2 linked regions of the Nothobranchius furzeri genome follow. Each later gene encodes a partner of the first gene's protein in a complex. Links are inferred from orthologs where the notes say so. Each region holds a gene or a part of one and is shown on either strand. Other genes may lie near its edges. The genes, in order: snap29 and vamp8.

The links.
Region 2: the proteins of snap29 (region 1) and vamp8 are in contact, whole or in part, in a crystal structure (PDB 4WY4), measured with the Homo sapiens proteins. The link is inferred for Nothobranchius furzeri from reciprocal best matches to the Homo sapiens genes SNAP29 and VAMP8. Residues at the interface, in NP_004773.1 of Homo sapiens: Leu206, Leu209, Ser210, Leu213, Leu216, Lys217, Ala220, Leu221, Met223, Gln224, Ile227, Glu228, Gln230, Asp231, Leu234, Leu237, Thr238, Val241, Asp242, Leu244, Asp245, Ile248, Lys249, Thr251, Glu252, Val255, Arg256, Leu258; in NP_003752.2 of Homo sapiens: Leu16, Glu19, Val20, Val23, Ile26, Met27, Gln29, Asn30, Arg33, Ile34, Arg37, Asn40, Leu41, Leu44, Lys47, Thr48, Asp50, Leu51, Thr54, Ser55, His57, Phe58, Thr61, Ser62, Val65, Lys68, Phe69.

The regions. Positions count from the first base shown.
Region 1 is NC_091757.1:55,818,864-55,823,235, reverse strand, and holds the start of snap29 (synaptosomal-associated protein 29), read left to right. Parts: upstream 1-1,360; 5' UTR 1,361-1,617; intron 1,618-2,312; coding exon 2,313-2,549; intron 2,550-2,787; coding exon 2,788-2,981; intron 2,982-3,867; coding exon 3,868-3,953; intron 3,954-4,034; coding exon 4,035-4,139; intron 4,140-4,372. Other genes in the region: pi4kab (phosphatidylinositol 4-kinase, catalytic, alpha b), read right to left, coding at 1,181-1,279. UniProt on the Homo sapiens protein: SNAREs, soluble N-ethylmaleimide-sensitive factor-attachment protein receptors, are essential proteins for fusion of cellular membranes.
Region 2 is NC_091757.1:27,703,190-27,707,722, forward strand, and holds the start of vamp8 (vesicle-associated membrane protein 8), read left to right. Parts: upstream 1-1,441; 5' UTR 1,442-1,627; coding exon 1,628-1,642; intron 1,643-4,533. UniProt on the Homo sapiens protein: SNAREs, soluble N-ethylmaleimide-sensitive factor-attachment protein receptors, are essential proteins for fusion of cellular membranes.

The sequences.
Region 1 (4,372 bases):
TTGGAACCTAAAAGTATGAGATGTGATCAATTCAGGTTGTGATGGCAATGATGGGCGCATCGGGGTTAATAAGAGTGACTAATAAAGAGAAGCGCATATATAAGCTTGTGGGAACATCATTGTTTGATCTGTCTAGTAGGTGCAATTATGTTATACGACCACGAAAGAGAAGGAAAAAAGGTAATCTGGTCATTTCAAAACAATGAAATTTTTCAATCTAATTACACTTTCCTTCACTAACTGAACTTGCACATTGCATTATTAAAATACCAGTATTTAAAGTTATTATATAGTATTTAAACGTTTTACGAGATCTGGGAGCAAATAAACACTGGGGTTTTGCGGAAGTTTGTGGTAATTATGCCATAAAATGCATCACTAAGTTAAAACCTAAAGATGACATTAAAGGTTTGTGGCTTTTCCAAATAAACTTTATATCTAAAAGTCAATAATATGTCACAAGGGTTCTGCTATTTCTTTATAGTATCAGTCTCAAATGTTGCAGTGTTTCTTGTTTTACGACACCTGCATGATCCAATATTTACCTGTCTTATAACTGAAATTTTACAACAATGTAACTGAAATTATTTCTGATTTTTGTAAAAAAAAAAAACATTTGTACTGTATTCAACCCGTTATTAATACACATGAATTTTCCATGTTTTATTACCTGTTTGATATTCTAGCTAAAACTCTAAATACACAATAGATAATGGAGTGCGTGGATAGTTGGTTCAACAAAATCAATCAAATCGACTCTCGTGCGAGCTTCTCTTAAGTGGTGAAGTAAATCTTCTTCATTCTCCACCCTGTAGTTTGAACAGGTTAGTATCCACAACCAGCTGAGCACTTTCCCCCCTCATCTGTAAACCTGTTTGACCGCAGCGAGGCTGGCTACTCCGCCTGAGTGATGCAGTAGCAGGAACCACACAAGCGCAGCAACAGCCCGTTTATCTTCTGATACGGGAGAGGGAAACATTAATTCCCGTACTGGTGACTTCTAAATGCAAACATAAACGGAACTGTCAAACGTTAATCTTGTCTGTAATCAAAATAAGGCACCGCCTGGGCGTGCGGAAGCGGAGCAACACCCTAAACACCAGTGGTCATTACTGTTCCGACCTAAGCTAATTTTATGCTAATTTTTGTCAAGAGAAAATTACTCTGGATTTTTCCTCACCTTGTCGACGGGGGCAGGACGATGAGCAGCAAGTGAGCGGGCCAGCGATAGAACTGTGTTGAAATAAAACCCTCTCGTACTGCCTCCCATTAAAGACATGTTTACGATTCCATCAAGCCAGCGTTATGATTCAACAATAAGAGGAAACGGCAGAGCAGCGGCAACTAGCGTTAGGATACCGCAGTACGGACGGAAGCCCAACACGGACAATTCCATGTTGCGCCATTCAATATATTGAAGCTATTTACTTTTTTTTATTTAACCAAGTAAGCTAAGTTAAACATATCCCATCCGAATTTTTTATATTTTAAATTTTTATTTATATTATTTTATACACGAGGAGTACTTTTATACTTTTTGTTGCGCACGGCACACCACTACGTCATCCAACGTGACACAGTGCTCATCTGTAGCACTGAGTTATCGACAGTCAGAAGGTGAGTGTCGTTTTAATTATCATTTTTAGGGTGTCGTTTGGCACATGCTATTTCATAGCTGAAAAGGTGTTTACAGTCAAACTACACCGCGGCTTTGTCTCTCGGGTGTGGCTGTTTGACGTGTGGGTCGGCTAGTTCTGCTAGCAGTATCTTCTCGAACATGCTAGCCAACACCTATTAAATAACAACACAGAACAACAAATATTATTGTCTTTAGGTTGTATAATACCGGTGCCATACAGCAGTGAACTGCTTGGAGCCACCCATCATTTAAAACATGTTTTCTTCTGTGAAGACTGAAACTTGTTGAAAGTAGAAAAGAGTTCTTTTCAAAATACAGCTAAACTTTTTTCAGATTAATGTGTCAACTTATCTGTTGATGCTAATGGTAAGTTGTCGTTATGTTGTAGGGACTGTAATACGTTACAAGCTACTTTTTTTATATTATTATCTATCTTGGCAGGTGTTCTCACGTGTATTTTTAGAAAAGTAACTTATGAGGACTTATTTGGATTTTAATCACTTCTTTTATGACTTATTTCAGTTTCTCACAACATGATATTATTTCACTTTCTTAATGTCAAAAGCTTTGCTTAGTGGTTTTTATACAGCAGATGAGCACACTTAATCCTGTTGACATATATTTAAGACTTTAGATAATATTATTTTGTCAACACTGTGCGTTTAACTTTCAGATGGCCTACCCAAAATCTCACAATCCATTTGCTGATGACGAGGAGGAGGAAGGATTTAAGCCTAAAAATAGGGATTTTGATGGTGAAGCTGATGACAGCGGGCTGTCTGACGCTGAGAGGAGGCAGAGGTATCTCCGACAGGAAGTAATGCGCACAGCACAGTCTGCTGTGGATAGCAGCCATCGTTCCCTTGGTCTCATTTATGAATCTGAGAAGATGGGTGTGGAAACTGCAGAGGTATAAGTCCATCCATCTATCCATGCATTCTTCATCCATTTTTTGCTCATTTATTTTAATGTTCTTCTTTCTCTTTTGGCTTTTGCCTTCAATGGTCCCTATGGTGAATTGTCTGTCGTCATTCAGTCCTTTCCTATCTGCATTCTCTACCCTCACATTAACTTCACATCCTCTTTCACCGCATCCATAAATATCCTTCCTCGGTTGCTCATTTATTTTTATGTGTATATGTGTTTAGGAGTTGGTGCGACAAGGTGAAGCTCTGAAGAGGGCTGACAAGATGTTGGAGGGTATGGATCAGGACCTGAAAACCAGCCAAAAGCATATTAACTCTATCAAGAGTGTGTGGGGAGGTCTTGTCAATTACTTCAAGGGTAAGCCAGATGCAAAGCCAACCCCTGAAGAGCCAAAAGCCTACGAGACCAATGAACGGTACGTTTCAGTCACTCCTGTGCTGCTGTCATATCAATACCATTTTCTTATTTGTTGCAGGTCCAACACTTTAGACTTTTTACTGCTTTTGCTATTGTCATTTTTACAAATATTCAATAACTTTTATTTTAAAGTTGAATGCAAATCAAGTTCTAAAGCTTAATGGAATAGAAGTTATAAAATATTACAGCATTTAAAGAATCATAATTATTAGGATTAAAAGTTGAAATCTGACTTCATACTAATACAACTGATTCATTTACTAGACCTTCTAAGCTACAACGCTACAAAATGTTAGAAATGTATAATGGTAAATGGCCTGTATTTGATATAGCGCCACCTAGAGTCCTATAACCCCCCAAGGCGCTTTACATCACAGTCATTCACCCAGTCACACCCTGGTGGGGATGAGCTACGATGTAGCCACAGCTGCCCTGGGGCGCACTGACAGAGGCAAGTCTGGCGAGCGAGCACTGGCACCACCGGTCCATTTGACCACCATCAGCAGGCAAGGGGGGTAAAGTGTCTTGCCCAAGGACACAACGACAGCGACAAACTGAGCGGGGCTCGAAGCTGCAACCTTCTAATTACGGGGCGAGCACTGAGCTCCTGTGCCACCAACACCTCATAGTATCAGTAGTTGACCTAAAGTTACTGTTTTATTTCTAAAGTATCCCTGAATTTACAAACCAAGCACTGCTGGAGGATTTTCAGAGGTTACTACAGGTGAGGTGTAGCTCCTCCCTCACCTCTAGCACATGTACTAAGGTGCTTCATGTGTTTAATGAAAGTAGCCCCAAACGTTATTTATCATAGAATCCAGAACATGATCATTATCTGGAAATTTCAGTTCATTTCTTGTTTTGAATTGTACTTTTTGTCTCAGATTACAGAAGGCCATGTCCAGCAGCAGAGAACATGAAGATAAATACCAAGCGAGCCACCCCAATCTAAGAAAACTGGAGACAGGAGGTGGGCGTTGGCACATGAACCTGGGTATGTTTTAATCATCCCATGAACCAGCCGTCATCATTTCTCCTTCCTGTGTTCCAGGTTTTGGAGCAGCTTCATCCTTGGATTCTGGCTCATCCGGACAGAATGGATACCCACAGAACAGCTACCTCAAGGAGGCTCACCACACCCTTGATAAAAATTTGGGTAAAAATAATTCATTTCTGTTATATTATACTGAACCTTGACTAAATTGTGCAATTTTCTAATCACATGATGAGAAATACCAAAGTTAATGTTAAAAATAAAAGTAGAATGTCTTTTAACTTTAGTTGCGATTCTTGGAGACATGATGCAAAACTCACCATTTGCATTCTTTTGTGCTGCCATGTGGGTCTATAATGCCCAGGGGCGTGGCCAGGGAGTGGCCTGGGGTAGCA
Region 2 (4,533 bases), about 28 Mb from region 1:
GTCACACACCACAACGCCGAGTTTGTCACAAACACCCTCCTTTGCCAGATTTATGAATGACTTTAAACAATATTTTTCCTCGCTTAAGCATCTAAAATCAGACCGATTTGTTACAATTCATGACAAAATCTCATCTCTCGGTCTTAGACTATTAGGCTCTTATCTTCTGTGCTACAGGATTGTATTTGTATTTGCAGGAGTATTATTTGGATGTTGTGTTTGCATTAACCCCCCGTCTTGTGTCTTGATTTTTGTAAAGTCCCTTTTATTTTTGTTATGTCCCTTTTGTTTTCACGTATCTATTTTATGTTGTACATAGATGCTGTCATGTTATTCACTAAGCTGTTGGTTTTGGCTGTTGTATTGACGAGACTGTAATCCTCAACGAGAATATGTATCTTGTTCAATTATAAATAAAGAACATGGCGACTGAATGGGGAGTTCGCTGCGGCTCTTTCCTCTGTTCTAGATGACTTTGGCACGTCTTTAAAACAACAAGTAGAAGCACTAAAAGCCTTACTTCTAAGAAAGATGGCGCTGTCGCCAGACGCCATTTTTGACTACAGCTAAAAAACTACTGCATTGCGCGGTACTGTCTGCATTTCTGTCTTTTTTGTGATTGGTGATTTTTGAGCTTCCTAGTCCCGCCCCTCAAGTGCCTCTCTGCCTGTGAGGAACCAGACACTCTCTGCAGGATTAAACAGGACCAGTCTGGCAGGCCAGGCTAAAACCTATGAGGAAAACACACACACAGCACTCACTTATGAGTGTTATTGTCTTGTTTAAAAGCTGAACCACTTTCTATGTAACAACTATTATTACATTATAATAGTTTAGCACAGATGTCTGCTGTGGTGAATAAAAAGTATTTATTTAAAACTTAGGCCTACTGCTAATGTGAATTTGTTATGTTTGAATTGCTCTTATTTTTGCAGACGTTTGTTTAGTTGAGCATCGGATTAAATCACAATCCAACTCTCACCACTGACTCACAAATCAGCAAAGCTTCAGACAAATAAACGGATGAATAAATATTCTATGTGCCCTTGAAAGGTAATTACACTCAGTTTATCAACAGCAGACACAATACAGGAGTACATCTTCTAAATAAAAGCATAGATGTTTCACAATAAAACAAACGATGGCCCAGGTTCATAACAAAATGTATAAACGCAGAAGTAAAAATAGGAAGAGCATTAAATAATTAAATAAATAAAATAATACACAGTTTAAAAAACTTAATTAAAATCCAAGTGATTTGGTTAACACGTTTTATCTCCTGTTTTAAATTATGAAACAAATGTAGTACCGTTTTATTTTATTTAACTTTTCTAACGTAATGCTTGTAAATGTTAATAAACTTACTTTAAACCGTTTAATGAGCTTCACGTTTATCGCTTTAATGAAACCGGATGTGGGTTTGAGCTGAAAACTCGAAGCGAAGGAATTCAGAGTGAAGAGAAAAAAACAGGAAGTGAAACCAAGGAGGAGCGAGTGAGAGAGAGAGAGAGAGAGAGAGAGACACCTGTAGGAGCGTCAAACTTTTAGGTTTTACATCATTTTAAAGGTTTTAAACTAAAGAACCGTGTCTGTGGGTCTTCTGAAGGAGGATCTAGTTTCTGACAGGATGGACGCGGACCCGGTAGGTGATGTTTTTCTTGTTTTGTTGCAGCGACTCCATAACGAGGCGCCATGTAAGGAGCAGGTGTGTTTGTTCAGGTCACATGAAGAAAATGAATAATGTTTGAGTTGAGGGGACACCTGTAACTTACGACCCTGTTTTCCCTGAACAATGGCGTCCACTCGGAAGCTGCTCTGCGGTCCTGCTGTTGGACATTTACTTAAGTTAATGTTTGAAAGTGTGAAGTCGGTGTTTAAATGAGCGTTTTAAACGCTGTTGCAGCTTAAAGCTGTTTGTTAGCTCAAACTTAGCTAGCTAACTTAGCTCAGAGATGCTGTAGCATCTTGTTCCTGCTGGCTGGAGAGGTCAGAGGATCAGATACTTCAGAAGGTGGAAATAATTTGTTTTGGACTGAAACCTTGGTCTGTCCACATACGTTTGGTGTGTTTTCTAAGCAGGCGTGCAAACAACAGATGTAAAAGTAATGTTGTTGCTATTTAAGATAAACTGATCTGTATCATCTTATTTTTTCAGGGCATCATCATTGAGGCACTTGGATTCAATTTCTGTAGTTTTGAACCACTTTAGGACACAAACAAATGTTTTTTTATTCTGGTCAGCTGGATATCTAACGGTGGTTTTTGACTGTTAAATGTTTGTGACCAAGTGAGAAAAGCTTTGCATGCAAATCTGAAGCAGGACTGATCCTCTGCTGCTGCTGGGAACAGAGGTGTTTCAGTCTTTATAATAGAGACAGAACAGATTAAAGCTGAAAGATCAGGATTTACACTCCATTCAAATCTCACATGTGCTCACAGATTAAGGGAATTTCACATTTGACTAGTTAAAGAGTCGGCATTTTAAATGGCTCACTGAGGATATAGGTTACATTTATTTTGCAATCAAATGAAAGTTTTCCTTTAAATTTACCTTTTAAATCATAGAGACCACATCTGTGCCAGCTTTGTAGTTGCCTGCTATCTAATTTTATTTCCTCTTAATCAGGTTTTACTGGAAGACCCAAGTTCGTCTTCATCTGCTTCCTCTCCAGCACATGCTGAGCTCTTTTAAATGAATCCTACCATCTTTATGCAGATGGCATCCAACTGTACATCTCCTTTAAGAACCATGAGATGTCTAAGCTACAGCTGTTAGTGTTTCCCCTAGGGATTTTTCCAGCTGTGGTGGTGGGGGGGGTAATGACACGACTCACCTTTATGTTAATATTGTTTTATTTGATGCACTCCACTTTGAACTACACCAGTACAGCAACTGCTGCATTTTAATGACTAGTATTGAAGGTGAATACCTCTTATTTATTATTGGAAATCCTTACTTTGGTTAAATAAATCAGTTGTTGAACCCCCCACTCCTCTGTTTGGTCTCCTTTCTTATTACAGCCCACCACTTCCAGTCTGGGTTGTAACAATCTGCAGACAGATTTCTGAGCATCTCCTCCTTTGGTACACAGATCCTCACTGAGCCATGTACTGTGAACAAATAGTTTCTCCGTGATATTATCCAGCAAGATCTTGTTTTTGTCAAAACAAGGGTGAGGTAATGAAAAAATAGAAATATTTCAATAAATTAACATTAAAATTATTTATATGCATAATTAAAAAAAAACATGTTTTGAAATATATAAAGTGCACCAAACTTGACTCAGTCCATTCAACAATTCTAAATGGACAATTATGTAACTCATCAATTAATTATTTGAAAGGATAATTTGTCAATTAAATGCTGAAAAAAATAAACAATACATTAATGAGGCAAGAACTTTTTAAACTTGGACATACCTACACCCACAAGTCTATTTTTACCTGGTTAAAACCATCTAGCTTATGTGCACTTTTTAAAACACTGCCCAGCAAACATTCGGACGTTTAATGACAGTTGAACGGTCACAACTGTAAAATAATATCACAGGAATTAGGAAAGAATAACATGACATCAACTCTATGTCCCTTGGCCGGACTCGAACCTGGATCCTCCAGAGTGAGAGTCACCCGCTCTCCCAGCTGAGCCATGACAGCAACTGCTGAATCTCAGATTTTTTTATACAGATAGCTAGAGAGTAAAGTGCGGAGTAAACTAACCAATCAGAGGACAGGGAAGATCTGCCACAGGCCACGCCTCCAGAGTGCCAAAACTCCTCACAGCCGAGCGAGCGGAATTAGAAACCGAGCGCGCAGAGGCTGCCGAGCGCGCAGAGAGGCTGCCGCGCGCGCACGTTTTCCTCTGCCGTGTGCTCGTTGGCAACGCGCGCACGCAGGTTTGTCACTTGTGCACATCCTTGTGCGCTCACAGACACAGTTTGCTCCCTCTCAGTGCACAAATGACCTCTCGCCATGTATATTTTCGCTCGCGAGTCCCGTTCACACGCGCACTGTGGACCCAATGCGCGTGCACGGGTTGTGGCACGGGTCTGACGCGATACTCTCTCCCCCAGAGATCGGTGGACTCAGTGGTCTCCTTTAAAAGCAGCTGAAAACTCACCTGTTCAGGCTGGCTTTGGTGTGACCTTAACTATTGCCCTTTTCTTATTCAGCTCTTTCTACCAATTCAGCCTTTCCCAGCATCCACTGATTACCTCTTTTTTAAAATAATTTTCTGTTTTTCTTTCCCAAAAATTTCTAATCACAATGAAAATTTTTCTTAAATATATGATATTTTTTAATAATTATTTAAAGTCTTTATTTTTTATTTTTTTATTTGCTCTTGTGAAGCGCCTTGTGATTTTTGTCTTAAGAGGCGCTAAATAAGATTGTTTTTTTTTCTTTCTGACTCGTCGTGCATCCCGTGAATAAGAGGTTTGCTGTAGTCGTTGCTGTTCCATGCACTGCCTCACACGATTTCCTGTCTCTGTGAAAATGTGTATCTAAAGTTAACAGCCTTACTGTGGTACTGTA